Linked DNA regions of Macaca mulatta. The protein of the gene in region 5 interacts with the protein of the main gene of each other region in a pairwise test. Links are inferred from orthologs where the notes say so. Each region holds a gene or a part of one and is shown on either strand. Other genes may lie near its edges.

The links.
Region 1: the proteins of NUP62 (region 5) and FABP3 interact in binary tests that used the Homo sapiens proteins (3 or more experiments, as listed by UniProt). The two-hybrid records come from large-scale screens. The link is inferred for Macaca mulatta from reciprocal best matches to the Homo sapiens genes NUP62 and FABP3.
Region 2: the proteins of NUP62 (region 5) and OIP5 interact in binary tests that used the Homo sapiens proteins (3 or more experiments, as listed by UniProt). The two-hybrid records come from large-scale screens. The link is inferred for Macaca mulatta from reciprocal best matches to the Homo sapiens genes NUP62 and OIP5.
Region 3: the proteins of NUP62 (region 5) and KANSL1 interact in binary tests that used the Homo sapiens proteins (3 or more experiments, as listed by UniProt). The two-hybrid records come from large-scale screens. The link is inferred for Macaca mulatta from reciprocal best matches to the Homo sapiens genes NUP62 and KANSL1.
Region 4: the proteins of NUP62 (region 5) and CRCT1 interact in binary tests that used the Homo sapiens proteins (3 or more experiments, as listed by UniProt). The two-hybrid records come from large-scale screens. The link is inferred for Macaca mulatta from reciprocal best matches to the Homo sapiens genes NUP62 and CRCT1.
Region 6: the proteins of NUP62 (region 5) and SSC5D interact in binary tests that used the Homo sapiens proteins (3 or more experiments, as listed by UniProt). The two-hybrid records come from large-scale screens. The link is inferred for Macaca mulatta from reciprocal best matches to the Homo sapiens genes NUP62 and SSC5D.
Region 7: the proteins of NUP62 (region 5) and HSF2 interact in binary tests that used the Homo sapiens proteins (3 or more experiments, as listed by UniProt). The link is inferred for Macaca mulatta from reciprocal best matches to the Homo sapiens genes NUP62 and HSF2.

Annotation. Positions count from the first base shown.
Region 1 is NC_133406.1:209,493,092-209,496,001, forward strand, and holds part of FABP3 (fatty acid-binding protein, heart), read left to right. Parts: intron 1-781; coding exon 782-954; intron 955-2,839; coding exon 2,840-2,910. UniProt on the Homo sapiens protein: FABPs are thought to play a role in the intracellular transport of long-chain fatty acids and their acyl-CoA esters.
Region 2 is NC_133412.1:18,676,970-18,681,729, forward strand, and holds the start of OIP5 (protein Mis18-beta), read right to left. Parts: upstream 3,232-4,760; 5' UTR 3,185-3,231; coding exon 2,863-3,184; exon of another isoform or gene 2,779-2,862; intron 2,605-2,778; coding exon 2,538-2,604; intron 1-2,537. Other genes in the region: NUSAP1 (nucleolar and spindle-associated protein 1), read left to right, coding at 3,581-3,673. UniProt on the Homo sapiens protein: Required for recruitment of CENPA to centromeres and normal chromosome segregation during mitosis.
Region 3 is NC_133421.1:71,124,689-71,129,235, forward strand, and holds the start of KANSL1 (KAT8 regulatory NSL complex subunit 1), read right to left. Parts: upstream 2,954-4,547; 5' UTR 2,921-2,953; intron 2,570-2,920; exon of another isoform or gene 2,144-2,569; intron 1,393-2,143; 5' UTR 1,282-1,392; coding exon of another isoform or gene 1,259-1,281; intron 1-1,258. UniProt on the Homo sapiens protein: Non-catalytic component of the NSL histone acetyltransferase complex, a multiprotein complex that mediates histone H4 acetylation at 'Lys-5'- and 'Lys-8' (H4K5ac and H4K8ac) at transcription start sites and promotes transcription initiation.
Region 4 is NC_133406.1:114,515,830-114,519,738, forward strand, and holds CRCT1 (cysteine-rich C-terminal protein 1), read right to left. Parts: upstream 2,528-3,909; 5' UTR 2,367-2,527; intron 1,557-2,366; 5' UTR 1,535-1,556; coding exon 1,220-1,534; 3' UTR 895-1,219; downstream 1-894.
Region 5 is NC_133424.1:62,390,333-62,395,067, forward strand, and holds the start of NUP62 (nuclear pore glycoprotein p62), read right to left. Parts: upstream 2,954-4,735; 5' UTR 2,877-2,953; exon of another isoform or gene 2,755-2,876; intron 1,416-2,754; exon of another isoform or gene 1,304-1,415; intron 559-1,303; exon of another isoform or gene 414-558; intron 1-413. Other genes in the region: ATF5 (cyclic AMP-dependent transcription factor ATF-5), read left to right, coding at 4,420-4,597. UniProt on the Homo sapiens protein: Essential component of the nuclear pore complex. The N-terminal is probably involved in nucleocytoplasmic transport.
Region 6 is NC_133424.1:67,832,031-67,836,561, reverse strand, and holds the start of SSC5D (soluble scavenger receptor cysteine-rich domain-containing protein SSC5D), read right to left. Parts: upstream 3,008-4,531; 5' UTR 2,852-3,007; coding exon 2,827-2,851; intron 2,619-2,826; exon of another isoform or gene 2,427-2,618; intron 1,966-2,426; coding exon 1,939-1,965; intron 1,616-1,938; coding exon 1,307-1,615; intron 1,087-1,306; coding exon 973-1,086; intron 727-972; coding exon 616-726; intron 254-615; coding exon 1-253. Other genes in the region: NAT14 (putative N-acetyltransferase 14), read right to left, coding at 4,458-4,531.
Region 7 is NC_133409.1:27,446,806-27,450,827, forward strand, and holds the end of HSF2 (heat shock factor protein 2), read left to right. Parts: intron 1-1,903; coding exon 1,904-1,988; intron 1,989-2,397; coding exon 2,398-2,693; 3' UTR 2,694-3,432; downstream 3,433-4,022. UniProt on the Homo sapiens protein: DNA-binding protein that specifically binds heat shock promoter elements (HSE) and activates transcription. In higher eukaryotes, HSF is unable to bind to the HSE unless the cells are heat shocked.

The DNA.
Region 1 (2,910 bases), on a different chromosome or scaffold from region 5:
TTCCTCAGCCTTATGCTCTAGCCTTGGGAGGTAGTATAGCTGAGCACTTAAGCAAGCTCTGGAGTCAGACAATTCTGGGCTTCAATATCAGATTTGTGACCCTGGGCTTTACCTCTCTTTTTGCATCTGTAACGTGGAAATAGTCTTCAGAGGAACAGGAAGAACTAAATGAGATAACATGTACAGTTCTTACTACACAAAAAGTTCATAGTACTTTTTTTTTTTTTTTGAGATGGAGTCTCACTCTGTCGGCCAGGCTGGAGTGCAGTGGCACAATCTCGACTCACTGCAACCTCCACCTCCTAGGTTCACGCAGTTCTCAGCCTCAACCTCCTGAGTAGCTGGAATTACAGGCACATACCACCACATCTGGCTAATTTTTTGCATTTTCAGTGGAGACAGGGTTTCACCATATTGGCCAGACTGGTCTTGAACTCCTGGCCTCATGTGATTCACCTGCCTTGGCTTCCCAAAGTGTTGTGATTACAGGCGTGAGCCACCACGCTCAGCCCAATAGTAACTTATTCTAATCCCAGCTCTCCCACTGACTTGCTATGGCACCGCTGTTCCTTAAGTATCTCATCTGTCTAATGGGATCAGTAATCTGTGTTCACCAAACAGAACAAAGGGCAAGACTGAATTTTAAAATTCCCATGCAAAGGCTTTGAAAGATACAGTCCTCCACTTCCCCATACCCAGGCCTGAGAGTTATGCATTGAGTTTCTTGTACACTGCTTCTCTACCCGAGCTCATATACTCCCAATCTTCCCCCTACCCTCAGGAGTGGGTTTTGCTACCAGGCAGGTGGCCAACATGACCAAGCCTACCACGATCATCGAAAAGAATGGGGACATTCTCACCCTAAAAACACACAGCACCTTCAAGAACACAGAGATCAACTTCAAGCTGGGGGTGGAGTTTGATGAGACAACAGCAGATGACAGGAAGGTCAAGGTAAGTCAGGGAAACAGGGGTTGGGAATGAAGAGTGCTGAGACTCTAAAAGAGAATAGGCTGGTAGTCTTGGCTCCCTGGTATTGCACCCTGAGGGGCAGACTATCATGGGGAATTTAAATGAAACAAGGTTCATAAAGCCTGTGTAGTGCTAGAATGCCACTGCTGCTAAATACATGTCAGTTCTGTCCTCTTGTTTTCTTCCCTCCCTTCTTGGGATTCATCTATTGTCTGCCTCAGAATGGGCAGCACAGAGCCAGGATGTTCTTCTGACCTCAGTATCTACTCCAGCTCCAGCTGGGTGACCCTGTGCAAGGTATGCAGTAGCTCTAGGTTTCTTTCCCCTTCCATAGATGGCGGAGTTATGTGGCCATGGCTGTGACCTGAAGTGCTTTAGGAATGATGCCCAGAAGTCAGGGCCCTCCACTGAGTGAGGTCATTGTAGCCTCCAGCAGCAAAAAAGGCAGCCAGGAACAAGAAGCCACCTACTCAGATGCCGCTTCAACTTCTAATTCTCAGACATGGCCAATGACCCTGACAAACTATTTCCGATGTTGCCAGCGGACAGGCAGGAAGAGCTATGTTCCATGATAGGGCATTCACCTTGTCATGAATGTGTTTGCAGTGTCTTTCCACCAAACCTTAGCCCCCTCTCCCAGGGTTCTGTCACCCTGCAGTGACTGTCTTGGCAGCTTGCCTCAGCCTTCCAGGCCAGGCACGGGAGTGAGAGAACTTAGGGGCTTTGATCTCTATAGGGTGTCCCTATAGCAGTGTTCTATCATGACACTATCATTCAGCCCCGTCAGCTATTTCCTCTTCCTCATAGCTGTCCCCAGAAAGCACAGCTGGGGATGGTGCCCAAAGATGGCAGTCTACTTGGGATAAAGGTGGCTGCCCCACCACATGCCCCTGCCTCCTTGGACTTGCCTACTTTCTCAAGGGGCAAGAACCCCAATTAAACACAATAGCCCTCTGGAATGCCTAGGGCAAAAATATCTACTCTGAGTAGGCAAAAAAAAAAAAAAAAAAAAAAAAAAAAACCTAGGGGAATGAGAACAAGGAGTAAGGTAAGGATAAAAAAGAGCACACTAAGAGACAGGCCCCATACTCCTTATCACCCAAACAATACACAGAACCTTCTCAGATTCTCCTACTGAACCACCTTGCTCATCAGGATCCCTTAGCCTGGCCTTGTGGCCCCCAAACTCCTAGGAAAGAGAGACCTGGAAGAGCTGCCAAATGAGAACCAGCTGATGTATGTATGGCAGCACCCAGAGCTAAGGAACACTTCAAGGGCATCCAGTCACAGGACTCTGTGGTTGCTGCCCTCTTGTCAGCTAAAGAGATTACATGATATGGACCAAGAAAAGGTGTAGGAATACAGGCCAGGAAGTCTAATTATCCAATACTTCCTATTGCTAAGGGTCTTTTAGACATTATGTAGACTAACCACAAGGCTGGAAAAAGATTCTCAGGACTATTCCTCCTCCTCAGTCAGTCTTTCCCAGGGGTAGACTAGTAAATCCCACCTGTATCTGAGGGGACTAGGCTGCGGGCGTCACCTAGAGTACAGATAACTGTCTATCTTGAAGGCTTGTGGTGCCTCTCAGAGCCAGGCTCTCTGGCTCCACCATACTGCCTGCCTCTCCCTCCTTGCCTAGTATCTGAAGGCCTCTTCCCTAGCAAGGCAGTAGTGGAGCAGAGGCTGGAGGTGAACTAGATGTCCTGCGGGGTTAGCTGGGAGGTGGATTGCCTGAGCTCTCATCCTCACACCATCACTAGTTTGGGTCAAAAGCTGTGTCCTCTGGGGCCCCAGTGTCCAGACCCCACCCTGCCAATCAATCCTGACTAAGATCACAGCTCAGGCCTATACTCTCTTTCCGCAGTCCATTGTGACACTGGATGGAGGGAAACTCATTCACCTGCAGAAATGGGATGGGCAAGAGACGACACTTGT
Region 2 (4,760 bases), on a different chromosome or scaffold from region 5:
CTCAGCTTCCCAAAGCTGGGATTACAGGTGCATGCTACCATGCCCTACTAATTTTTTTTGGAAGAAATGGGGTCTTACTTCCCAGGCTAGCAGAATTCTATTAACAAAATACAACATAAAAATCACATAGCTAGCCCGGGCATGATGGCTTATGCCTGTAATCCCAGCACTTTGGGAGGCCAAGGCAGGTGGATCACCAGAGGTCAGGAGTTCAAGACCAGCCTGGCCAACATGGTGAAACCCTGTCTCTACTAAAAATACAAAAATTAGCCAGGCATGGTGGTGGGTGCCTGTAATCCCAGCTACTCAGGAGGGTGAGGCAGGAGAATCGCTTGAACCGGGGAGGCGGAGGTTGCAGTGAGCGGAGATTGTGCCATTGCACTCCAGCCTGGGCGACAAGAGCAAAACTCCGTCTTAAAAAAGAAAAAAAAAAAACAAAAAACACATAGCTAAAAAGAAATATTCATGTCAATGGATACTAAAAAAGAACAAATAACAAAATATATTAGGTTTATTGGTAAATGAAGTCCCACACCACACATATAGTAATCTTGTGAATATAGGTAACCAAAAAGCAAACTGTGAAATAAAGTGTCATTAATTTGAAATTCCACGTAGGAATTAATTAGTTCAGACAAAGCACAGTACTTATAAACAAATGTGTCAGTGGAAATTAATTTACTGGGCCGGGCGCAATGGCTCACGCTTATAATCTGAGCATTTTGGGAGGCGAGCAGATCACCTGAGACCAGGAGTTTGAGAACAGCCTGGTCAACATGGTGAAACTCCGTCTCTACTAAAAATACAAAATTTAGCTGGGTTTCCAGAAGGTTTTCAATTTACTTTGCCCATATCCATCAGAGGAATAACTATCTATAGTAGCTATAGATAGTAACAGTAAATGAGCATTGACTTCAACTTAAAGTCATCAGCTGCATTGGCCCCTAACAAGAGAGAAAGCCTGTCCTTTGAAGCTTTTTTTTTTCTTTTTTTTGGATGGAGTACAGTGGTACCATCACAGCTCACTACAGCCTTGACATCCCAGACTCAAGTGATCCTCCCACCTCAGCCTTCCAATTAGCTGGACCACAGGTGCACACTATAATGCCCATCTAATTTTTAAATGTTTTGTAGAGATCGGTTCTTGCTATGTTGCCCAGGCTGGTCTTGAACTCCTATGCTCAAGCAATCCTCCCACCTTGGTCTCCCAAAGTGCTGGGATTACACGTGTGAGTCACTGTGACCAGCTCCTTTCAAGCCAGGTAATACTTGTCCTTTCTACCTATGAAAGTCTGAGATGGCATCTTCTTCCAATAGAAGGCTGTTTCATCTGCACTGAAAATCTGTTGTTTAGTGTACCCACTTTCATTTTCTGCAGCTTCTGCATCAGTACTTGCTGTTTCACTTTGGACTTTTGTTATAGAGAAGGTTTCTTTCCTTAAATCTCAAGAACCAACCTCTGTTTTTTTTTTTAGATAGTCTTGCTCTGTCACCCCGGCTGGAGTGTGGTGGCACAATCACAGCTCCACTGTAGCCTCGACCTCTATGGCTCAAGCCAGCCTTCCTTCTCAGCCTCCCAAGCAGCTGGGACTATAGGTGTGCACCACCACATCCGGCTAAATTGTTTTGTATTTTGTAGAGACAGCATTTCACCATGTTGCCCAGGCTGGTCTCAAACTCCTGGGTTCAAGCAATCCACCCACCTCGGCCTCCCAAAGTGCTGGGGCTACAGGCATGAGCCATTGCACCTAGCCAACATTTGCTACTTTCAAACTTCTGCAGCTTCCTCACCTCTCAGCCTTCACAGAATTGAAGAGAGTTAGGGCCTTGTTCTGGATTAGGCTTTGGTTTAAAGGAATGCTGTGGCTGGTTTGATCTTCTACTCATACCACTCAAACTTCCTCCATATCAGCTTATAACTGGAGTAGCACTTTTAATTTCCATGTATTTGTTTGTTTGATGGAGTTTTGCTCTTGCTGCCCAAGCTGGAGTGCAATGGTGTGTTCTCAGTGCACTGCAACCTCTGCCTCCCGGGTTCAAGTGATTCTCCTGCCTCAGCCTCCCAAAGAGCTGGAATTACAGGTGTGTGCCACCATGCCCGGCTAATTTTGTATTTTTAGTAGAGACGGGGGTTCACCATGTTGGTCAGGTTGGTCTTGAACTCCTGACCTCATGTGATCCACCCACCTCAGCCTCCCAAAGTGCTGGGATTACAAGCGTGAGCCACCGCGCCCGGCCCCATTTTTTTCTTCATATTCACAATTTGGCATGACTTCACATGCCTTCCCAGCTACTCGGGAGGCTGAGGCAGAATGGTGTGAACCTGGGAGGCAGAGCTTGCAGTGAGCCGAGATCGCGCCACCGCACTCCAGCCTGGGCAACAGAGTGAGGCTCCATCTCAAAAAGAAAAAAATCAAACCAACAAAAAAAAAGGAAATGCTGTCAACAGACTTGCTCAACAAGTACATGTCAGTTCCACGCTCCTCAGTCTCATAAAGTCAGGGACTAGAGACCAATCTGTAATTATCAATACGTACCTGCCTTTGAGTGAACCTTCAATGCCAACTAGGAAGGGCGCTTCCAAAACGACGTTATTTGTAACTCCTAGGAACACAAACACGGGTCAGAACTCATACTCTGCGGGCCTTGAAATGGAAAATCTCTCCTCTAGACAGACTCATCCCCGCCATAAATGTCAGGAGACTCCCCAGTTCCCTGCCCCATCCCCAGGCCAAGGAGTTATGTGCTTCCAAATTTTCATTCCGTTTTCTTCCCCAGGTGGTTCTCTGCCACCCGGTGGAGAAGGCGGGAACAACCTCTCGGGCTAGCCTCTGCCTTTCCCGAACGCCTCACTGCACTCACTGGAGAAGACCACGGCCCCAAGGGACCGCGACAGGTCCCAGGCGAGGTGCACCGAGTCGGCGAGCACGGCGTGGCATTGTGCGCACTGGAAAACAGCGCACCTCTCAGGCTGCAGCCAAGACGGCAGCTGCGAGACGGCGGCCGGCTCCTCAGCCCCCAGCCCTGCGGGGCCGAGCGGCGAGGACCCCTTCACCACCTGTGTATCCCACTCCATGGAGGTCGTAAAAGATGCTTCGTCAATCGCCCTCTCAGTGCCATCACAAAAGTCACCCTGGGGCGGCGTTGCACAAGGGGAGCGATGCCGCCGCGGCTGAAACGCCATCTTCTCTCAGCCGGCGCCGTCGTTTCGAATACACGCCAGGCCCCGCCCCAAGCACAGCTCCTGCGTCCTCATTGGACATCGTGGGCAATCCAAGCACTGGAGTCCCAGTCCGCGCACTCGTTACCTGAACCGGCCTTACAGGCCCTTCGGCGCCTGCGTATTCGTGAAGTGTGAGAAAAGCGCGCGACTGTTGGGACGGGAAATCAGCCTTTCTATTGGTCAGGGTTAGAAACCCCGCCTTTGAGGCATTTTCAACCAATGGAAGCGCGGCATTCTTCATTTAAACTGTCTATAAATTTCAGCTTAGTCAAAGTTAAGAGTGGCGCCAGGGATTTGAACCTCGCTTACGAGACTTGGTGATCCATCTTCTGAGTATCACCGGGATTTTGAATCGCGATGATCATCCCCTCCCTAGAGGAGCTGGACTCCCTCAAGTACAGTGACCTGCAGAACTTAGCCAAGAGTCTGGGTCTCCGAGCCAACCTGCGGGTACGACGCTGGCGGGGCAGTTCCCTGGGCGGGCGCGGCGGGAGTAGCGGCCTCAGGGAGATGCGGTGCGAAGGGACCGAGCGGGAAGCCCGGGGACTGAAGCAGCCGTCCCTGCCCCTCGGGCAGTAGATGTGGTTCACGGTGGTCCCAGTTAGAACTCTGATAAACGGAAGAGGAACTGTAGTTTTCACCTCATTTTGAAGCTGGCTTGTCTGGGTGCTCACATGATAAGCCTCTGTTCCGAGGGGTGGTTTGTTGTTTTTCGTTTTTTGTGGTTTTTTTTTTTTTTTTGAAATTACTTTATACCTCTCAGGTCATCGATTACGAAACGCAGGCCCAGAAAGCAGAAGGGGTGTCGTTAATCGTTAGACAATTAAGTAAATAATTGGCTCAGCTTCTAGAAAACCCCACACAGACTTCAGTGATTTGTAATATTGCCGATAATCTCTTGATACTTTATTGATGGACCTGTCAGGGGGAAAGAAAAAATCTACTTTTAGGGGACCACCTCCTTGGGTAAATTTTTATAACTCAGCCCTGATCTAGTATACTCATGTGCTTATTGATGACTGTTGTGGTGATGGTATCTATCAAAACCAGTAAGGTCTTTGACTCCGAGGCTACAAGATGTTAGGGGAATTGGCCGGGCGCGGTGACTCATGCCTGTAATCCCAACACTTTGGGAGGCCAAGGTAGTTGGATCACCTGAGGTCAGGATTTCGAGACCAGCCTGGCCATTAAAAAATTAGCCGGGCGTGGTGGCACACGCCTGTGATCCCAGCTACTCGCCTGTGATCCCAGCTACTCGGGAGGCTGAGGCAGGAGAATCGCCTGAACCTGGGAAGCCAAGGTGGCAGTGAGCCAAGATCGCACCCACTGCACTCCAACCTCGGTGACAGAGCGAGACTCAGTCTCAAACAAAACAAAAACAAACAAACAAAAAACAAGATGTTAGAAGATTTGGGGATTCAATGTAGGATAGCGGTTTTATATATTTTGTTAATAGTTGAGACTTCCCACATAATACTGCTGTATGCTCTCTAGGTTTGTCCTGCAGGCTATGATACTGACACTGAATAAATGCCTA
Region 3 (4,547 bases), on a different chromosome or scaffold from region 5:
AAACACTCTTACACGGGTCCTCCGATTCTTGACGGGTTCAGAACTTCTGGTTGCATTCCCCATGCAACCCCTCCAACTCTACAGGGAGAATGCTGGAAAAACTGTGTCACTTTGGCTTCCTGTATATTAATATAAGCACTCATTATCCAGCAATAGCAGCTGAAACGTAAATGAAGATGAGAACTCAGTCTACATGACCTAAGATTTCCCACAAGTCCAGATATTTAGGTTACGCAGACTGCATTATTGTCCGATTTCTCCTCTGCATTAATCTGGAAGTCTACAGAACAGATTAGCACACAACAATCTTAACTAAGCTAGTATCCAACTCTGAAGGAAGGCGAAGCTGGTGGAGGGTTTCCAAGACTGCTTATCCTTCTCTGTCCTTCCTCCCATACCCTCCTTATGTCTTTTTTGGTTTTTGTTTGTAAAATTTAAAAATATTTAATTTTTTTAAATGTATTTTTAGTCACAAGAAAATCAAAGAAGCCACCCATTTCAGTCTTAAGCTCTGCCCTTTGCCTAGTCCTAATGGAGGGTTCTTTGGCCATCTATGTATAAAAGATGAGAGAAGCCAAAGAGACTGGAGAACCACCACATCAATGGGAGCTTTTTCATCTAAAGGTCATCTGTCCACACTGTCCAAATGAGGTTTACCCTGTGAAATAAACTTGGCATAAGTGCTACCTGTTGAGAAAAACAGTGTGAAATGTCACGCAAAGGACTGGGGTGCAGCAGGAGGACTCTGAAAAAGTCATACGTGTAAACCAGCAGGTCTTAGAATGTTCTAATATACTATATGCAGTTTCAGAGTAAACAAATGGTTAATGACACATCTTTTGTAACACATGAATCAGCTACTGATTTGCAAGAGTGGGACACACCCTAGTACCTATGACTCTAAAGTACCTGTTTGAAAAGTGGACCTAGATGTCTGAATTGCCAACCTATCCTAAAATTGGAACAGAATTTTATAACTATGTAAGTTGCCATAATTTAAAGTTAAAAAGATCACTGCCTTTCATTATAATGGAAGTTAATTTGAGAACTTCATTAAAACGTTCACACCGATAATCAAAGAACAGTAGCAATGCAAAGTAAGGTACAGCCAATCAATCCTAGGAAGCAAACACAAGAGGCAAGAGAAATGGCAGGTAAAGGAACTGAAGAATAGCAAATTCAAGAATTACAAGCATTACAAAGTTCTAAAGAAAAATGAATAAAATGAGGCTGGTAATGAAAAAATAACACATCTTACCTTAAGAGGCATCCAAATAGCATTCATAGTGTCAGGATATAAAGACAATACTCAGAAATGAGCAAGAAGTCTTAGTAATTCCCTCGGTTACCAAGTATGAGCAGGTAGGAAAATCTTTTGTTTCGATAAGGTATCTGAAAGAGAGGATTTTCATTTAGACTAAAAAATAATCAAGAAAATGCAAATAGTTTAAGCTACATGGGCAGGGATTTTGAAGTACTATTTGCCTCATCGCACTAAAAAAGTATAGAAAATACAGTCCCCTTTAGAAAACGGCAAATGTGTGTGTGTCTCCGTACATATGTGTAGAAACATACGTTATATAAAAAGAGAAATAAATATGTAACACTTACTTTAGATAATGTAAAATTGCTTATCAAACAGCCAAAATCCCAGAGAGAATAAAGTTTCCAGGGTACCTCATAAACACTAAACGTGATTTGTTAACTAACCATCTAAAAAAAGACCCTTGCTACATTTAATTATATTTAGTAAAGTAAAACCTCTCTAATCATCCCGACTGTCCCAAGATTATGCTTAAGTTTCAGAGTCAATTCCACATGAAAAGTAAAACCTATTCTTGACTGAAGTACTAGAAACAAATAAAATACCCTTCTTCCCCAGAGATCGTTAAAAGCAGACCGAGCAACTTAATTTTGAGGGTAGGAGGAAGGTAAATTTGCCTGGAGGCTGGAGGATGGACTAAATGACCTCTAGTAGGATCCTCGTTCAAGTCCTGGGCCTGAATACAATTCCAGCTTAACCAGTTACTGCTTCGCTTAAAATGGAGGCTTGCCCGCGTAGGGACAAAAATAACAGCACCCACTTCGTTAAAAACAAATGTCGAAAAGTACCCTTATTTAAATAAAAATAAAAAATAAACACCTCTGGAGTGGATGTGTTCTTGCTATGCGTTTGTCACTGAGGCTTCGAAGACTTGGCATCACTTTCCTTACCGCTCACCGGATTTTGGGGGAGGAGCGGGGGGCGGCAGTTTGACTCCTGACCCAAGTCTCAGGCAGGCTTCAAAGCCCCACCAGGGCCCCCAACTCCAGAGCCAGAGGGAGCGGAGAGGCGAGAGCCCGAGATCGCACCTCCCCCCACCGCGGACCCCAGTCCCAAACCTACCCCTCACCCCTCCGCAGTGGGGCGCCTCCTTCTGCCCCATTCCCATTGTTAGGGAGGGGAGAGCGCGGGGTGGGCTCAGGGCAGGGGCGCCCGCGGCCGTTGCCCGGCTCGCTTCAGGAGGGGCGGCCCGCGGGATGCGGCTTCCCTTCCTCTCCGCGTCGGTCCGTCCCACCTCGGCTCGGCCTGGCGCCCCGAGCTCCGCTCCGCGCCCCCGGCCGCGGCCCCGGCCCGCCCCCGGGGCAGCCAGGCCCCCCGGCCACTCGGTCGGCAGCCTGCGGCCCAGGCCTACGAGTGGGCGCTGGGCGGGGGTCCCCGTGCCCCACACACGCGTCCCTCCCCGAGCCCCGCCGCTTCCAGGGCCCTCGGCGGCGCCCGCTCCCCGGGCCCCGCCGCCCCCCGCCTCCCAGCCGGGCCGCTCCCTCGAGCTCGTCGTGTCGGGGCCGCCGCCTCTACCTCACCATCACCCCTGTCCACTCGTGCCCCCACCCCCAGGGGCACCAGTGCCAAAGACAGCTCCCCCAGCCCCGGACCTACCTGCACGGTTCAACCAAGCCTAGAAGTGGGGGCGGGGAATCTTCCGCCCTCCTCTGGCGTTCATTGGCCCTTCAGGGGCATATCGTGAGCGCCATTGGCTGAGCGATAGTGTCCGTCAGAGAGATGGGGCGGGACCGAAGGGGGAGAGGGATGCTGGTGCCTCGGCGTCTCTGTCTCTGTGTATCTCGCTGTCTCTGTCTCTGTCTCGGCCCTTGGAAACGAGAGGCTTTTGGATGAGAGGACTAGAAGCGGGCCTGAGGTGGGAGGAATAGGAATAGGAATCCTGCCAGAGCGTCACGCCAGTTGGCCACTCTGAACCCCCTACCTAAGTCCCCTTTAGGTTCTCTTCTCCATCACCCCCAACCCCTGCCCCTCACCCCTCGAGGTTCCTTCATCCAGGAAGCGACGTGATGAAAACTCCAGGCCGGAAGGCCATAGGGAGAGATGTTATATATGTATAGAAAATATACACATATAAATATTTATATATAAATTCAACCAGATATCAGTTCACTAGGGCCTGGAAAGGAAAGGGCACACATCTCACAGACAGGGAAGGACTTGAGATAGAGCCGGCAGAAGAAGGAATCAAAAATCACTCTTAAGAGCTGGCAACAGTGGTTACCTCCTGGGAGGGGAACTGAGTGCCTAGGGAACCAGTGGGCGGAAGACTTACATATCTCGGCGTATCCTTTGTATCCATTGATTTTTGCACCATTCATCAAGATTCCAATTTTTTAAAAATTGATTTAAAGGTTTAAATAAGGTCCCAAAACCAGGGGACAGATAAGATAGTTGGCCAGGAAAATTGGCACAACATGCAGATTTGGGGAGGAATCTTAGCTTTTAATATATTCAGTTCCAGGTAACAGGGTTTTGTAAAACCCAGTGAAGGTGTCCTAGAGGCAACTGAAGTTACAGAACTTGAGAGAGGGTAGACAATCAGGACTAGAGACTATGTGGGGTCCTCTGCCTGAAGATAGTGGTCTGTGACATGCTAAACTCCCTAAGCAGGGTAATAAGACACCCACGGTAAAAGGTAGGAGAACGAAAAAGAAGGTCAGTGAGGTAAAAGAAACAGAATATTAAAGAGGCATGAAAATTAAGGAAGGAAGGGTCTGTGGAAAATAGAACAATAAAACTATGAGAGAGGACGGGCGCGGTGGCTCATGTTTGTAATCACAGCACTTTGGGAGGCCAAGGCAGGTGGATCACCTGAGGTCAGGAGTTCCAGACCAGCCTGGGCAGCATGGTGAAACCCCATCTCTAATAGAAATGCAAAAAAAATTAGCCAAGTGTAGTGGCACACCTCTGTAATCCCAGCTACTGGGAAGGCTGAAGTGGGAGAATTGCTTGAACTGGGAGGTGGAGGCTGCAGTGAGCCAAGATCACGCCACTGCACTCCAGCCTGGACAACAGAGCAAGACCCTGTTTCAAAAAAATAAAAAATAAAAACTATGAGAGCCTCATAGGTCTTACCTCTTTAGGCTCTGGTAACCATGGGACAACAAAAATGAAAGCCAAGGCCGGGCATGGTGGCTCACGCCTGTAATCCCAGCATTTTGGGAGGCCAAGACAGGCAGATCACAAGGTCAGGAGATCAAGACCATCCTGGCCAACATGGTGA
Region 4 (3,909 bases), on a different chromosome or scaffold from region 5:
ATTATTATCACCATGATTATCTCTTCCCTCTGAACCCAGCAGAGGATATTGTTCTCCTGTTTCCTGGTGCCTGAAATGAGCGGATAAAACCTCTGCCCACAGGGATAGGTTTCTGACCTATGCAAAATGACCCACCCATTGCCGCTGCCACAGCCACCATCTCTAAAGAATGAGATCCCCACGTTTCTGAGCACACATGTTGCACCACAGAGACTCCCAGAAACCCGTGGCTCTTGGTCCTGCTTCAGCTGCACAAATGAGACCTGGAGAGGGTAGTTTCCAGCTTTCCTGGAAGGCACATCTTAGGAAAAATTTCCTCCCCAGCAAGCAAAGCAGTAGGTCAATAATCTTCCACGCCAAAAATAAAAAATAAAATAAAACGTAAAACTAAAAAATAAAAAAAGACAGCTGGCTTGATTCCAAAGCCCCCAGGAGTTGCCAAAACACACTTTTGCCACACAGCTGCCTGAACCCGGTGGTCAGTAGGAGCACCTCGGTGGTAAGGCTTGGGAAGCCCAGGTGAGGACCCTGCAGAGCAACGAAGCCTTGGAATCAGATGTCCTGTCTTCTTTATCAGGCGTCAGCTGGGTGACTTTGAACAAATTATACTTAACCTCAGTTTCTCTTGTAAAAAGGGTATAACAGCACTCTCCTACACGAGTCATTATGAGAATCAGATTGTGCCACATAAAGTCCTAAGAATACTCAAGAGCTTTGTCACGTAAAGTCATTAAAATCCTCGAAACAGTCGATATCTGATCGCTGCTATCATAATTAACAATCAGAAAGTCATCTTTTTGTTCAGGCATGAATTATACTATTCTGCCTTTCACAAACATTTCAAGTCTTTCTACCTGGGCGGAGAAACGAATGAAGAACAAATAAGAAAAGGTGTTCTAAGGAGGTAGAAGCTTTATTATGACATCTTCAAAAGACAATCAAATCATTAGGCATTTACTGAGCACCTGCTGTGTGCAAACCCGTGCAGACAGTAGGGTCCAGTGTTCCACGCATGGTTCGTGAATCCCTGGGGAGAAAAATCACATCGGAGTCAGGGAGTTTTGCGTGGCTGAGAACAAAGTGGGTTTCTGAACATCAAAGTGCAATTCGCTTTACGGGGCAAACTGCGAGGCCCAGCCCCGCGTGGGAGCCGCAGCGGGGCGGGCTCGCTCTGGGTTGGACGGGTTTCTCTAGCGCAGCGCTGGGGGCTGCGGGTCTCTCAGCAGCCAGAGCAGCAGCCTGAGCTCTGGTTGTTGGAGCGCTGGGACCTCTGGCTGCCGCCCCCGCAGCAGCAGCAGCCACTACTCCGCTGCCGGCGGCGTCTCCTTGGGAAGCAGCAGCAACTGGTGGAGCTGGAGCCGCAGCAGCCCGAGTCGCCGCAGCAGCCGCCGCCGGAGCCGCAGCAGCCGCCGCCGCAGCAAGAGGAGGAGGAGGCGGGCGCCGGGGTGGGCGCAGGGGCGGGACACGGAGCGGGGCCCTGGGATGACCCCTTGGAAAAGCCTTTGGCGGAAGCGGCGCTCTGTTGAGAGGACATCGCGGAGCTCCTCACGACGAACCTGGAAGAAAGGCAGCCTTTTAAAGGCGAGCCGGCTTTTTCTTTCCACCAGTGGAACTCTGTCTGGGCTTTTGAGATTCGGTTTAGTGTACAAGTCAGCCCGGCCTGGGACAAGGGGGGAAAAGTACCCAGAAAGAGCGGGACATAGAAAAGCAAATCCAAGCAGGGGCTTCCAGTGAGTTAAACATGCTCAGAGCAGGACACAATCTATGCAATGAATCAGTGCATTTCCATTTTCTCTGACTAGAAGAAGACTGCTCAAGTTTTCCACAGTGGAAAATAAACAGCACACTGCGGCAGCTTATCTGTATGATCCAGTCCAAAATCTCCACTTGGCTTTTTTCCTCTTCCTCGTTTTACTTTCCTACCGACCTTCGATTTGTATCTTCCTAGTTACTACACCCCATCATTTAGAAAACACCCAAGTCCAACACGCGGTCCCACCTGCTGGATCTAAATAATCCACATACCAGAAGCAGGTCCTGATCATTCTTTCTTGCCTATGCCTCTCACGCCCCACAACCATGTGGGAAAGGAGAGTTGTGCCAATATAAATAACCCCATCCAGGGAGCTGAAAGCCCTGGGTTCTAGTCACAGTTCTTCTGTGGACTTGCTGTGTACCCTTGCAAAAGCCACCTCCTGTGTTGCCTTCATGTCCTCATTAGTACCTTAAGAGGTTGGCTCACTGGAAGCTTAGGTGCCTTGTAGGACACCCCTTCCGCATCTATCTGCTGCCTGTGTTCTGTTTTCTCCTCCGCTGTGCCCTCAACTCATCCCACCCTCTCCCCCAGACCCTGCGAGGAGACTTACCGGACCCTGGCTCCACTGAAAGACTCACTACGTTCTCAGGCTGGAATGGGCCACCTGCTAGGCAGTGGATTGAGCAGTGTCCAGCCAGAGAACCTTTTTATAACAAGTATTCAGGTTCAGGCTCTTGGGAGGGGCCCATTTCCCAACAGACATGCTCAGCTGACACTCACATCCCAGAGACATTCATCACTCAGGTAGCGCTGTAGGTGGTGCACGTGAGCATCTAAGTCACTTCACAGAGGTGCCAGGATTGCTATGGCATGTTTACTTTCCAAGCAGAGCACTGTTGGTACCTGGGAGGCTGTGTGTATGCTAAGAGAAGGCATGGGGCTCAAATGCAGGGAGGTCTGGAACCCCTTGTGCCCTTGTCTTCAGTGTACACAGACACGCACACACACACACACGGCTCAACTTGCCCACACATCAATTCCTGTGTAGTCATCTACTTGGTAGGTGGTAGTTCACCTATTTTTATCTTGATTCTCATCTCTCTGGCTTTTGGTCCTTGGCTCCCCAGGGCAGACCACAAGCTATGCAATAAGCCTGCTGGTTTTCATCCATATGCTTCAAGATGCAGTGAATGAAGATGATGACAGGAATGCACCTGTGGGAATCCCAGGGGCGATTTCTCTCTGTCACTGGAGACAGGAAGAAAAACCAAGCAAAGTTAAGGAACCATAAGACCAGAAAAGTTGTGAATGTAGTCGGGTTACCATATCCCCATAATACAGCGTGGTATGACTAAGAGAAACATGTGTGCAGGACAGTGGCCCAATTGCAAAAAGGCAAGTCAGCCTGTGGGACTCCTGCTTCTTATCCTACCCCCAACCACCAATCTCCCTTTGAAGATAGGTCCTCCCTAGAGCCATTGCCCAATGCAAAAGAAAATGGGAAAGGAAGAAGGGAGGAGGGAAAGATGAAAAAGAGAGAGAGAGAGAGAAAGAAAGAGAGAGAGAGAAAGAGAGAAAGAAAAGAAAGAAAAAGAAGAAGGAAGGAAGGAAGGAAGGAAGGAAGGAAGGAAGGAAGGAAGGAAGGGAAGGAAGAAAGGAAGGGAAGGAAGAAAGGAAGGAAGGAAGGAAGGAAGGAAGGAAGGAAGGAAGGAAGGAAGGAAGGAAGGAAGGAAGGAAGGAAAATACAAGGAAAGGAAAGGAAGGTTCTTTCCAAAGGTCGAAAGTGTGCATGATAAATAGTGTTTTTAGAATAACTAATTTTTAAGAATTGGAGGATACTTTGGCAATCAACTTCGGAACTGCTTCTTAATCAATGCAATTGCCCACAACTATGAAAGTGAACTGTAACAGAAGTCCAAGACTAAGAATTCAAGAATTAAGGATGAGAGACAGGTTTGGGAGTCAGTGAGCTGGGAGTGGCATGAGGGAATACGCACAAAAGATACCAGTTTCATTTAACGTGGATTTAGAGCCTGATTAACAGGTTGCCAGTTCCTAGAGCACCTGTTGGTGAATATAGGTGAGACATTCCAAAAAGTAAAGTCAATATTAGAACAGAGAAGGAAGTAATGAAATAACAAGACAGAGGCAGG
Region 5 (4,735 bases):
GAGAATTGCTTGAATCCAGAAAGCGGAGGTTGTAATGAGCCGAGATCATACTGTACTCCAGCCTGAGCGACAGAGCAGGACTCTGTCTCAAAACCAAACCAAACCAAACCCAGTTCCCAAGTACAAGCTAGAAGGTCTTCTTAGGAGAAGATTCTGCCGGTGGGGGGCTGGGGTAGGGCACGTCTCTGCGTCCTTACCACTGGCAGTCTGTCCAACAGTCTACCCTTAATTCCATCTGCTTTTGCTCAAAAACCTATACTGAGAAGTGGAAGGAAGTTGGACTTACTGCACAGCAATGGAATGAGAACACATCCACCTTAATTATAGCAGTAACAGTAACCACTTTTATGCAGCACCTACTGTGTCCCAGGCACTAGTCTAACTGCTCGACGCGGATTAACTCATTTAATCAGCCCTATGAGGCAGGCAGTTTTGTTTTTTTTGTTTTTTTTTTTTTTTTGAGACAGGGTCTCACTCTGTCACCCAGGCTGGAGTGTGGTGGCACAATCTCCGCTTACTGCAACCTCTGCCCCACCCCAGGGTTCAAGTGATCCTCCTGCCTTAGCCTCACAAGTAGCTGGGACCACAGGCACAAACCACCACACCCAGCTATTTTTTTGTATTTTCTGTAGAGACGGGGTTTCACCATGTTGCCCAGGCTGGTCTCGAATTCCTGAGCTCAAGCAATCTGCCCACTTCAGCCTCCCAGGGTGGTGGGATTACAGGCGTAAGCCACCGTGCCTGGCCCAGAGGCAGGTACTCTTAACACCACCTTGTACCACAGGGGAAACCGAGGCACCGGGAAGGGAAATGGCTACGGTCACACAGCTAATAAGAGGGGTGCAGTCAGGTTTTGAACTCATAAATCTGGCTCCAGAGTCTATGCCAAGGATGTATAAAATTTGGCTTCCTGGGGCTACATCGCAAGAATTGTCTTAGGCCACACATAAAATAACACTAATGATAGTTGATGAGCTCAAAAGGAAAAAAAAAAAACACTCGCAAAAAATTCGTATGGTTTAGGAAAGTTTACGAATTTGTATTAGGCTGCATTCAAAGCTATTCTGGGCCACATGCAGGCCCACGGATGGGACAAGCTCAGTTTATGCTCTTAGCTGCTACTCTGTATACTGTCTCAGTGATAACACAACCCCTACAAGCTCAAGGAAATATAGGGCAGGTGCTCAAAAGCTGGCAAAGTGGACAATAAGTGCTCTAAGGGAAGGTGGTCAGATCCCAAGAAGGGCTTCCTGCCCGCGACAAGTAAGGGAGGAGAAAGAAGCTTGTGTAAAACGCTCAATACCAGGATTCCTCCACCTTCTCTGGACCTTGATTCAGTCTCCTAACTGCCACAGAAGGGATGAAGGCTGAACTCCAGCTGGGATGTCCTGACGTGGATGGGACAAAGTGGGTTTCTGCAAGAGAGAAAAGACTGACATCCACCTCGGCTGGTGGAGGGCCCTGTGCATGAGAAGGGGCAAGATGGCTACCCTCTGACTAAAGGGAAACGGAGATCTTCCATTTTTGGCAGGGTTGGGAGATAGTTCCTATCCCGTGGAAGCTAAGGACTGTTTGAAAGGAAGCCAAGGGCAAGGGATGGAGAAAAGGACGCAGCTGGGGCCTCGATGTCTGAATCCCTGCCAGGGGATGGGGCCTGGGCACCCATCATTTGGAACGGAAGATGAGGATGGCCGGAAACAGACACTTCAGAGGAATGAGGGAGACAGAAGAACGACAGCAAGAGTTAGACAGTCCAACGTCTGCGGCTCTTGTAAGGGGGAAAGAAGAAGTGAGGCTGGGCCCCAATAAAATATGTTGAGGCCGGGCGCGGTGGCTCACGCCTGTAAGCCCAGCACTTTGGGAGGCCGAGGCGGGCCGATCATGAAGTCAGGAGATCGAGACCATCCTGGCTAACAAGGTGAAACCTCGTCTCTACTAAAAATACAAAAAATTAGCCGGGCGTGGTGGCGGGCGCCTGTAATCCTAGCTACTCTGGAGGCTGAGGCAGGAGAATGGCGTGAACTCGGCGGAGTTTGCAGTGAGCCGAGATCGCGCCACTGCACTCCAGCCTGGGCGACAGAGACCGAGAGACGTCATCTCACCAAAAAAAAAAAAAAAAAAAAAATTGAACAGGAACGTATGAGTTGAACTCTGTGCATAAGGCTTGCCAGACACCGTCTTGAGTTTCATAAACCCACCAGGAGAGCTGATTTTTCTTATTTTACGGATAGGGAAATGAAGCAAGAGAACTTAAGCTATTTGCCCGAGGCCATCCTGGTAGGTCTGTGTTTGGGAGAGTGCTGTGACTCACGCTGGACTCTAACCCACGAGGGTTTCTCGGGGTCAGCAGTTGGGGGATGAAAACATGAAAAGTGTGGCTGGCAGGAAATTCTGCAAGCAGGGAAAGGGAAACAGAAATTAAATGGTGCAGGTCTCCGGGAAGAGAATGAGACTGGATCCACAAAATCACAGGAGGAAGCAGGCCCAGACCTCACAGGCAGAAAAAGAAAGAAACCAGAGTTTAGGAGGAAACCAGACCCCGGAGCTACGAGAGGGCCGGATCCCTGGCTCAAAAGGGAGGAGGGGCCTGGACCCTAGGAGTGGGAAGGAAGAGGTCGGATCCCCTGATCCCCAGGAGGAGGGGACCGGGCTGCCACCCAGTTGGGGCCCCGCGAGGGCGGGGCGCGGAAGGATCCGGGCGGGCCATGCTGCGCCACCCGAAGTATTTCTGTCCCCAGTCCCCGGGGCCGCCTCATTCCCCGTCCTCAGATCACGGTCTCTTCTAACTACAGCGTTCTCCGCCTCCGCCTGCGTAGCCCCAGCCATGGCTCTGTAGCCTCGACCCCTTTGTGCCCCCAGCCCGACTCCGCGCTTACCACGCCTGCGCTCTCCGCTCCCACCTTCTTTCTTCAGCCGAGGCCGCCGCCGCCTCTCCTTTCTGCAGCCATGGAGTGAGTAACCGCTTACTTGTCCCTCTCCAACCGCCTTTCCCGCCCTTTCGCAGCTCGTGGCCCTCTTTAGGGAGCCCTGGGGGGAGGGGAGCTGCGAGCGGGGAATCACGGTCGCGCAGGCGCAGAAGAGGTACGGTGGGCCGAAGGCGCGCGGCTGCGCATGCGCACTGGGCCCGGAGCCGGGTGGGAGAGTTCTAGAGACTCGATGTTTGTCAGCCGGCGTGTGGCTGCGCCTGCGCACTCCAAGGGAGGGTGTGGTCTTTTTCTAAACGATTCTGTGCGTGCTTGGTTGTTCCTGCGCAGTAGCCTACCAGTGCCCCGTAATGAATGAGCGCGGGCCCTGAGTGTCCGCGCATGCGCACTGATCCCCAAGAAGGCGGAGGTGTAAAGCAATTGGACAGCTCGGAAGACGTAGCATGCGCTTTGGCCCTTGGCGCATAGCCGCGTGTGGACGGCTGGCGTTCGGGTAGCAGTTCTCTGCCTGCCCCCTCTACCCTCCTCCACCCTCCCTGCTCCACGTTGCTCTGGCTCACAGCCCAACTTCCTTCCTTTTAAACCAGGCACCTGCTGAGGCGGGGACTGGCTTAGATTGACAGGGGAGAAGGCGGGGCTTAGAGGCAGCCCTCTAAGTGGGTGGGGCTAGAACCACTGTCGTCACGATGGGTGGGATTTCGTGAGCCCATTGTGAGAAGGGGCGGGGCTAAGCCAACCTTTAGCTGAGGGGTGGGGCTTCGATGGGACAAAGAGGCGGGGCCTCTGGGGAATCGGAGAGGGGCGGAGCTAAATAAACAATGAGGGGCGGGGCTTGGAGGGACAGTGGCAAAGCGAGGAGTGGGATTTGAGTGGATAACATTGCTGAAGGGCTGGGGCCTGGGGCAGTTCCCCTGGGCACTGGTTTGGGATGGAAGCTAGGAAGGCAGTGGGGCCAAAAGGAAATATTTTAGGGCAAGGGGCGTGGCTGGAAGAAAATGTCCCTGGAATTGAGTTTTTCCATGAAGCGGAATATTCTGAGGTGGATGGGAGGGGCCTAAGGTAATTCCCCTGGGAGACCCTTAGGTTTCTGTATTGGGGGAAAGGGTGGGGCATCGGTCCTACCTTAGGACCTAAAGAAATTCCCTTGGGAGTGGGTGGGGCTCAGATTTGGGTAAAGAAAGGGCAAATTTAGAATTCGGAGAGGCTGAGGCTTAGTTATAAACTGTGGTTGGAAGGGGGAGGGAGGAGCCCCGTGGACGTGCCTGGGGGTGTGGCTTGGCTTCCCCATGATTTTGGCCGGTGGATGAGGCTTTCCTGACCCCACGACCCCACCCACTCTTGTCTCACACGTGTAGGTCTTCCACTTTCGCCTTGGTGCCTGTCTTCATCCAGCTGAGCATCCTCCAGAGCCTCGTCCCAGCTGCTGGTGCAGCCGCTCCTGTTGCCATCAGTGCCCTGCACCTGTGCTACAGCGCCCTGCACCTGTGCTACAGCCATGTCACTCCTGGCCACCCTGGGGCTGGAGCTGGACAGGACCCTGCTCCCAGCTAGTGGGCTGGGATGGCTCGTAGACTATGGGAAACTCCCCCCTGCCCCTGCCCCCGTGGCTCCTTATGAGGTCCTTGGGGGAGCCCTGGAGGGCGGGCTTCCAGTGGGGGGAGAGCCCCTGGCAGGTAAGGGCAGGTGGAAGGTGGAGCAGGGGAGTGGAGGGCAGGGGAAGATGGGGGAGGAAAAACTCATCCATGTATTCATTAAATGTTGAGTGCCTACAATGTGCCAGGCACTGTTTTAGGTGCTGAGGATACAGCTGG
Region 6 (4,531 bases), about 5.4 Mb from region 5:
CTTCGGGGGCAGTCTCGGAGGGCCTGTTCTCCTCCTCCACAGCCCACGTCGTCCATCCACACGGGCCCTGCACCAGGCCCGAATCTGGCACCCCCGGGGGCCGCCAGCGCCCCCCCACAGCCCAGTTCCCGGCAGGCCACAGCGGCGTCACGCAGGTCCCAGCCATCATCACACACGGTGCCCCAGCGCCCGCCGTGCCAGACCTCCAGGCGGCCAGCGCACCTGTGGGGACCAGACACCAGGCGCAGCCGCTCTGTGGGGTGAGCAGGGAGGGGAGGGTGTGGCCAGTGAGAAATGATTCAAACACCCCTTCCTCGATTTCCACCCCGGGGAAACAGGCCTCAGGGAGCGGTGGCCTGAGATCTGCCCGCCAGCAGCCCGTTAAGAGGTGAGTCCACAACCTGAGTGGGCCAGGACACCTGGGCCTCCTGACAGGGCAGGAAGAAAAGGGGACACCAGGCCTGACCGTCTAAATCTCCGGGGCAGGGACACGGTGAACACTGGGATCCTTCCAGGGCCCCGGCTAAGGAGAGGGCACCCACGGGTCCTGCTTATCTGGGCCCTGGGCCTCACAGCATCCAGGCTGGGGGTCGGGGGAGCCTGCAGGGAGCTTACCTTGGCGGGGGGCTCCAGTTGTCAGCAGAGGGGCCCGGGTGGACTTGGCCTGCTTGGGCCGGGGGCTCTTCTTTCGGGAGGCATTCTGGGGGTTCCCAGCGAGGCGGGGGCCTGGGAGGGGAGACAGCCAGGGGTCAGGAGCTGAGCCCCTCATCCTTCCTCCCATCTGGGGGCCAGGCCTCTGTCTCTGAGGGTCTGAAGTGATGGAGGATTCCCTGGGCTATGAAGGAGACGGGGTGGGGCGGAGAGGCGGGCAGTGTGTCCCCTGGGGGTTCTTAGTGCAGAGGTCCCTCTCCCCTTGGCGGGAGCAGGAGTGTGCACTGCGTGGGGGTGGGCAGGGCAGTCCCCTGGGCTCACCGTGTGTCACCGGGGGCTCCTCCGTGCTGGGGCTCAGCTCCACCGACAGCCCTGGCCAGGGAGCCCCATCCAGGGGAGACGTTGAATCGTCCCTAGAGTTAGCCACACGCTGACCTGCGGCGGGGGAGGCGGGGACATAAGCTATGAGGAGAGTAGGGGAATCCAGGTCACTTGGGTCCCTGGAAGAGGAAGTGAGACTCCTGGCTTTGGAGGGGATGGGAGGATGAGTGTCTCTGGACTGCTGCACACTCAGACTTTCTGGGGCTAAGGACTTGGGATTCCTGGGACATCTCCAAAGGAAATCCCCGTGAAGGAGCAGCCAGGGTGTCCTCACCTGCACAGACGACGCCCGCGTCCTCCTCGTGGGAGCAGATGTGGGCCTTCCAGCCCCGGTGGTGGCAGAGGCCCAGCTGCCCTTCGTTGCCCCGGCAAGCCAGCTCGCTGAGCCACACGGGCCCTGCCCCCTCCCCGAAGAAGGCGCCTCCGGGGGCGGCCAGCGCCCCTCCGCAGCCCAGCTGCCGGCAGGCCACAGCGGCGTCACGCAGGTCCCAGCCATCATCACACACGGTGCCCCAGCGCCCGCCGTGCCAGACCTCCAGGCGGCCAGCGCACCCATGGGGGCCATCGGCCAGGCGCAGGCGCTCTGAGGGTTGGAGGAATGACTGTGACTGGGGAGGGGCATCCTTGGGGTCCCAGGGCCAGGGTGACTGGGGGCAGGGGGCCATCCTGCGGGTACTGTCGGTAGGCCAGTGGCCCTGCTCACTGGCCCCTGGGTCCAGACTCCTGGGTGCTCAGAGAGATGCGGCCAGACACCTGGGGGATCCCAGCACAGAGCAGGGGCCAAGGTCACAGTGGAATTCGGGTGGGCCAGGGACCCAGTGGGGTTGAGGCCAGGCCTGGACGGGCAGAAGGGGGAGTCCTGGCGCTGGGTGGAGGGGGGGAGATGGGAGGAGTCTGGGCACTTACCAACAGCCTGGATCCCCACCAGTGCCGCTGGAAGGGAGGGCAGAGGGTGGGGCAGAGTGAGGGGCAGGGCGGGAGTGGCCCTTTCTCCAGCGCAGACCCCTCATCTTGAATACCCCAACACACACACACACACACACGTGCACACACACACGCACACACACACGCACACACACACGCACACACAGAGTCCTCACACACGTGCGCACACGCACACATGCACGCACGCGCACACACGCGTGCGCGCACACACACAGTCCTCACATACGCACGTGCACACACACGCGCACGCACACACACGCGCGCGCACACACAGTCCTCACACACGCGCGTGCACACACACGCATACGCACACACACGCATACGCGCACACACACGCACACACGCGTGCACACACGCGCGCATGCACACACACGCACACACGCACACAGAGTCCTCACACACGCGCGTGCGCACACAGGCACACACGCACACACACAGAGTCCTCATACCTCTGAACCAGAAACCCCGCTGCTGGGAGGCAGGACTCTGGACAGAGGGGCGGGCTGAGGCACAGGTCTCTGAGGCGGGTGGGGCTGCCGATGCCGGGTCCCTGAAGTCAGGGCTGGGGACCCCGGCTTTGGTACTCTCACATGGGCTTGGCTAAAGGTCAGGTGTCCGGGACATCCCCTGCAGGGTCAGGGCTGGGGGGCGGGGAGGGGGCAGGTCCCTTGGGCTTCTGGGCTCGCAGAAGGCTGAGCAGATCAGGCGGGGATCCTTAGAAGGGATGTCAGGGTGTGCAGGAGCACCAGGGACCAGTCCCGGAAGTTTGAATCTCTAAACTGGATAAGCTAAGGGGTCAGAGGTGGGGGCCTAGGCCCCCTGAGTCCCCAAGGAGAATGGATCACTCACCAAGGAGGCAGGCCAAGACCCTCATGGTTGCAGCCAGGGCAGGGGATGGGGTGAAAGGGGAAGGAGAGCGGGAGAGAAGAGGAGGAGGCAGCTGGGGAGAGAGGGAGGGAGGGAAGCGCCTGCCGGAGGCGCCCAGGCCCGAGGAGAAGCAGGCAGGGCTGGACACTTTGCCAGGAGAAAGAAAGAGGCTGCAGGGAGGCGGCAGGGGACGGGGGGGCGGGAGGGGGCTGGCCGGCGGCTCAGGCATGGGGGGGAGGGGGGTGGCGGGCGGGAGGGAGGGTGTCCAACTGCAGACACCCACACGGGAGACGGAGACGACGGCCAGGCGTGCTGCAGCCAGCGAAGTGCTGTGCTCAGAGATGCTCAGGGGGTGGCTGGCTGCAGGAAGGCGCAGGACAGGGGTTGGGGGACGTGTGCGTGGGGGTGCAGCACGAGCAGGAGAGGGCGCCCACCTGTCTTCTCTCTTGTCTGGTCAGGGAAATCCACTGAGACTGCTGCTAGGGTTGGGGCTTGGGCAGACCCAGGGGCTCTTGGTGCAGCAGCAAGAAGATTTGCAGCCAGACACCAGGAGGGACTTCCTGGGTTAGGAAAAGAGACTGAAAGACCCGTCCCTCCAGTCCTCCCCGTCACTGGTGGATCTGAGTGTGAAGCCCGCAGTCCCCAGCTGAGAGAGGAGAGTTTGAACTTCACCGTCCCAGAGGGAGCTGGGGTCGGGGGATAAGCAGCACAAGGGTCAAGGCTTGGGAAGGGGAGGGGCTCCACACACTCCTCCACACACTCACACACACCCCACTCCCTGCGCACCAGGCAGCTGTGAGGTGGAAAAAATTCGGTAATAGGGAGCGTGACTCAGAAGGGCTGGCAGGGCCCAGGGCTGCCCCTGAGCTCACAGCCTCCCCTTCTCCCAGTCCAGCACCGCCCCCCAACAATTAACGTTAACTGGGGAAAGGAGGAGCCAGACAGAAATGGGCGGGGGGTGTCCGGAGACAGACTGGGAAAGGCATCAAAGATGAGACAGGCACACAGCGGTTCCAGGCTTTATTAACAAACGGTGGAAAAAACCACATGGGTCTGGGGGAAGGGACAGGGCTGCCCATCTCAGCTCTCGACCGACCTTCCCGGAGAGGGGCCAGGCCTGGCAGCCCTGTGCGCCGCGCCCGCTAAGCAGTCAACCTTGTCCCCTCCAAGCACAGGCATCTGACCCAATCTGGGTCCCAGGGAGGCGGAGTCGCAAACCCTAACTCGAGGGCATATTGTGCTGGGCCTCCTCTCCCCCTCCCCAGATAGCTCTCCCAGGCTTGGGGCACAGACTTTGCAGACATCCACCGGGGAGATTTCTCAGTGCAGACAGAGCTGAGGTAGGGGTTTTGGAGAGGCTGACCTCGAGAGGCCCCTGAGGGCCAGGAAGGAAAAGGAGTCATTTCACTCTTAGAAGCTCAAACACTCCAGACCTCACACTGCCGACTGCCGGGCACAGGCCAGGCTCCTCCCTCGGCAGGCCTCTGTTTCTGGGCCCTGGGTGGCTGAGGACTCACCGAGGGAGAGCACGTAAAAGCACCTGCACACAGTAGGCGCTCTGCAGGTGCTGGCGCCCCTCCCTCCTTCCCTGCCCTGGCTGTCAGCCTGTAGCCTCACAGGTCTTTGCTGAATTCCCTCACCAGCGTGTAGCCCAGGCAGCCCCAGCCCCCCTCGGCCTGGTAGCCGC
Region 7 (4,022 bases), on a different chromosome or scaffold from region 5:
ACTTTCCTAATAAATCAGATGCCTTATACTCCTCAGTACAGCAATCTTAATTGGCCACTATGAATGAATAAGAATTTGCATGGGAAATGAAATCTCATTCAGTATGATATTGGCTGTGGGTGTGTCATAAATAGCTCTTACAGTTTTGAGATATGTTCCATCAATACTTAGTTTATTGGGTGTTTTTAGCATGAAGGGGTGTTGAATTTTATTAAAGGCCTTTTCTGCATCTGTTGAGATAATCATGTGGTTTTTGTCATTTGTTCTGTTTATGTGATGGATTACATTTATTGATACGTGTATGTTGAACTAGCCTTGCATCTCAGGGATGAAGCCAACTTAATCGTGATGGATAAGCTTTATGATGTGCTGCTGGATTCAGTTTGCCGGTATTTTATTGAGGATTTTCGCATTGATGTTTATCAGGGATATTGGCCTGAAATTTTCTTTTTTTGTTGTGTCTCTGCCAGGTTTTGGTATCAGGATGACGCTGGCCTCATAAAATGAGTTAGGGAGGAATCCCTCTTTTTCTATTGTTTGGAATAGTTTCAGAAGGAATGGTACCGCTCCTCTTTGTACCTCTGGTAGAATTCGGCTGTGAATCCGTCTGGTCCTGGCTTTTTTTGGTTGGTAGGCTATTAATTACTGCCTCAATTTCAGAACTTGTTATTGGTCTATTCAGAGATTCGACTTCTTCCTGGTTTAGTCTTGGGAGGGTGTATGTGTCTAGGAATTTATCCAATTTTTCTAGATTTTCTAGTTTATTCGTGTAGAGGTGTTCATAGTATTCTCTGATGGTAGTTTATATTTCTGTGGGATCAGTGGTGATATCCCCTTTATCATTTTTTATTGTGTCTATTTGAAATCCGTTTGTCATCGGGTTCTCATGTTTTAGAATAACAGTGATATCTTTGGAAAATACCTATTTTAGGAAGCCTAAAAATAAAGTTGGTATTATTTCATTAATGTTTATATATTTATTGTGAATGCTAAGTGATGAAATATTTTTATGTACACTTTTGGAAAGGTTTCGTAGTTTTTATTATATCTTGGAGCCCTTATCTTCTCTAAATCCTAAATCTTATACAGCTTCATTTTATGTTAAATATCAGGGGAATTACTGTAATTAGTTTACAGTTGGTTACACCATATATATTTAGCCAGCATGTAGATATCTGGGACTTGCAGATGTCTGGGACTTACAGGAAAAATTAAGAACCTCTGCACCTCAGAGTTTGAACATCATTGAAAAGAGCACTGAAGAAATTAACAAGGTAAAGATACAATTTCCCTACCACAATCAGATGTGAGGAGAGAAGAAAGTGGTTCAAAGAAGCAATTTAAATGACAGAAAAGAACTGACAGAGCTACAAAAAGGACAAGAAGAAACACCACCTCAACTTTGAGGCTTCTAAATAGTGATAAATAGTTTTAAGGATGTCATTATGTCATCCTGAGCTACTCTGTGTTCATTTATGCTAAATATTCTGTTTATGAGTGAAATGTATAATACATTTTTTAAATCAAAACTACTTAAAATGAATTTAATTGCATAATTATCTCTCAGTTAACATTTTGAAACCAGTCATCTTTGATTCGTTCTGATCTTTTACTCTTGACAAATTCTATCTGTTCTGCTGTTGAAATCCCCCTTCATTTCATCCTTAATATAGAATATCCTAATTCAGGTTCTTTGTTTTATCCCCTCAGTGACAGCAATAGTTCCTTAACCAGTCTTGTTATCTCTACTGAAATCTCTCTCTGTAGCCCATTTTTCCTGATGTTTCCCCATCTCATATATTTCAGATAATATACCAGTATTTACATATTGTATCAATTTTTCATTTTTTTCAGAAACTAAAATATGAAACAAGTACTTATATATATATTTTTTTTCTTTTAGTCTGAGAATAAAGGATTAGAAACTACTAAGAACAATGTAGTTCAGCCAGTTTCAGAAGAGGGAAGAAAATCTAAATCCAAACCAGGTAGGTATAAATATAGTATTCAGTCTATGTAGGTTTTTTTAATCCTATGTAGAAACAAGTGCAAGCCAAGGGTAGTCTTAACAATTGAATATGCTGGCTTTAGTTCTGTGAATAGTGTGTCAAGGTATAGAGCAAGTTGAATTGGTGAGGTAACAATTATCTTAAAGTTTTTTTTTTTTCTTTCTTTCCTATTTAACTTTAGGAAACTGAAAGACCCCTCATTTCTTAATTGTTGAATGAGAACTACTGACTTGCACATTTTAAAATTTATTGGCATAGTGCATCATGTCATTTCTTGTTTGGCTATCTGAAAGTAGTAATTGCCTATGTGTACATTTGTTTTCATTTTTTCCCCTCAGTTTGAACTCAATATAAGCTGGTGATTAGAGTGTTTTTCTGATCTTTATAGATAAGCAGCTTATCCAGTATACTGCCTTTCCACTTCTTGCATTCCTCGATGGGAACCCTGCTTCTTCTGTTGAACAGGCGAGTACAACAGCATCATCAGAAGTTTTGTCCTCTGTAGATAAACCCATAGAAGTTGATGAGCTTCTGGATAGCAGCCTAGACCCAGAACCAACCCAAAGTAAGCTTGTTCGCCTGGAGCCATTGACTGAAGCTGAAGCTAGTGAAGCTACCCTGTTTTATTTATGTGAACTTGCTCCTGCACCTCTGGATAGTGATATGCCACTTTTAGATAGCTAAATCCCCAAGAAGAGGACTTTACATGTATATATTCATCAAAATGATGAACTATTTATTTTGAAGTATCATTTGGTACTTTTTTTGTAAATTGCTTTGTTTTGTTTAATCAGATACTGTGGAATAAAAGCACCTTTTGCTTTTCTCACTAACCACACACTCTTGCAAAGCTTTCAGATGTTACTCAGCTGCATAGTTACACAGATTTAATGCACATTATTGGCATATCTTTAAGTTGGATTCAAATGGCCATTTTTTTCCAATTTTGGTAAATTGGATTTCTTTTTATTACAATATGACCATTAACCTCAGTTAAATTTTTGTTTGTTTTCCTGTTTGATGCTGTCTATTTGCATTGAGTGTAAGTCATTTGAACTAATGGTATAACTCTTAAAGCTTTCTCTGCTCCAGTTATTTTTATTAAATATTTTTCACTTGGCTTATTTTTAAAACTGGGAACATAAAGTGCCTGTATCTTGTAAAACTTCATTTGTTTCTTTTGGTTCAGAGAAGTTCATTTATGTTCAAAGAAGTTTATTCATGTTCAACAGGAAAGACAAAGTATACATGAATGTTCACGGTCTGATAGGGTTCCAGCTCCATATATATAGAAAGATCGGGGGTGGGATGGGATGGAGTCAGCCCCATCCACTTAGTTGGACTAGTTTTAAATAAAGGTTTTCCGGTTTGTGTTTTTTTGAACCATACTGTTTAGTAAAATAAACACAATGAATGTTGAGTACTAGTGTCTGTTATGTGTCTTCTTTAGAGGTGACACTCACATGAAACAATTTTTTCTTCTCATAGGAAGCAGTGGCTTTAAACTGTCTATGGTTCATTACTCTCAATATGAGTCACACCAAGATCTTTGTACCACATCTCGAAAATATATTGTATATTGCAACGAGGGAGATATATCTCTAAATTTAATGTATTTTGAAGTTCTTTGTTTAAAAATTATACTGGGTTGCTTTCTATGTTTCTAATAAAAAAGTGGGAGAAGTATGCCCCTCATTGTCCCAAATAGGGTAAGAGTATTATCACTGGATGTCTGGAGAGAAGATAAGAGAAATAGTAAAATCAGCTCTTTCTTTGAAACAGTCGCCCAAGAGAATTATAGAGACTTAATGCAAGGCCAGGGCACTTTTATCATGTGAAGAATTTCACCTTTGGGCAAAGGACTGAAAGCAGTACAGTTAATATTGTATAGGGCTATTTAATGAGGAGTTTCAGGGCAGGTTTTCCTATTGGCCATATTCTGTCCATGTCTTAGAATTTCTTTTATTATGATGTAATGATTCAAAGTAAAGGCTAGCACAGAAGAATAGGAAA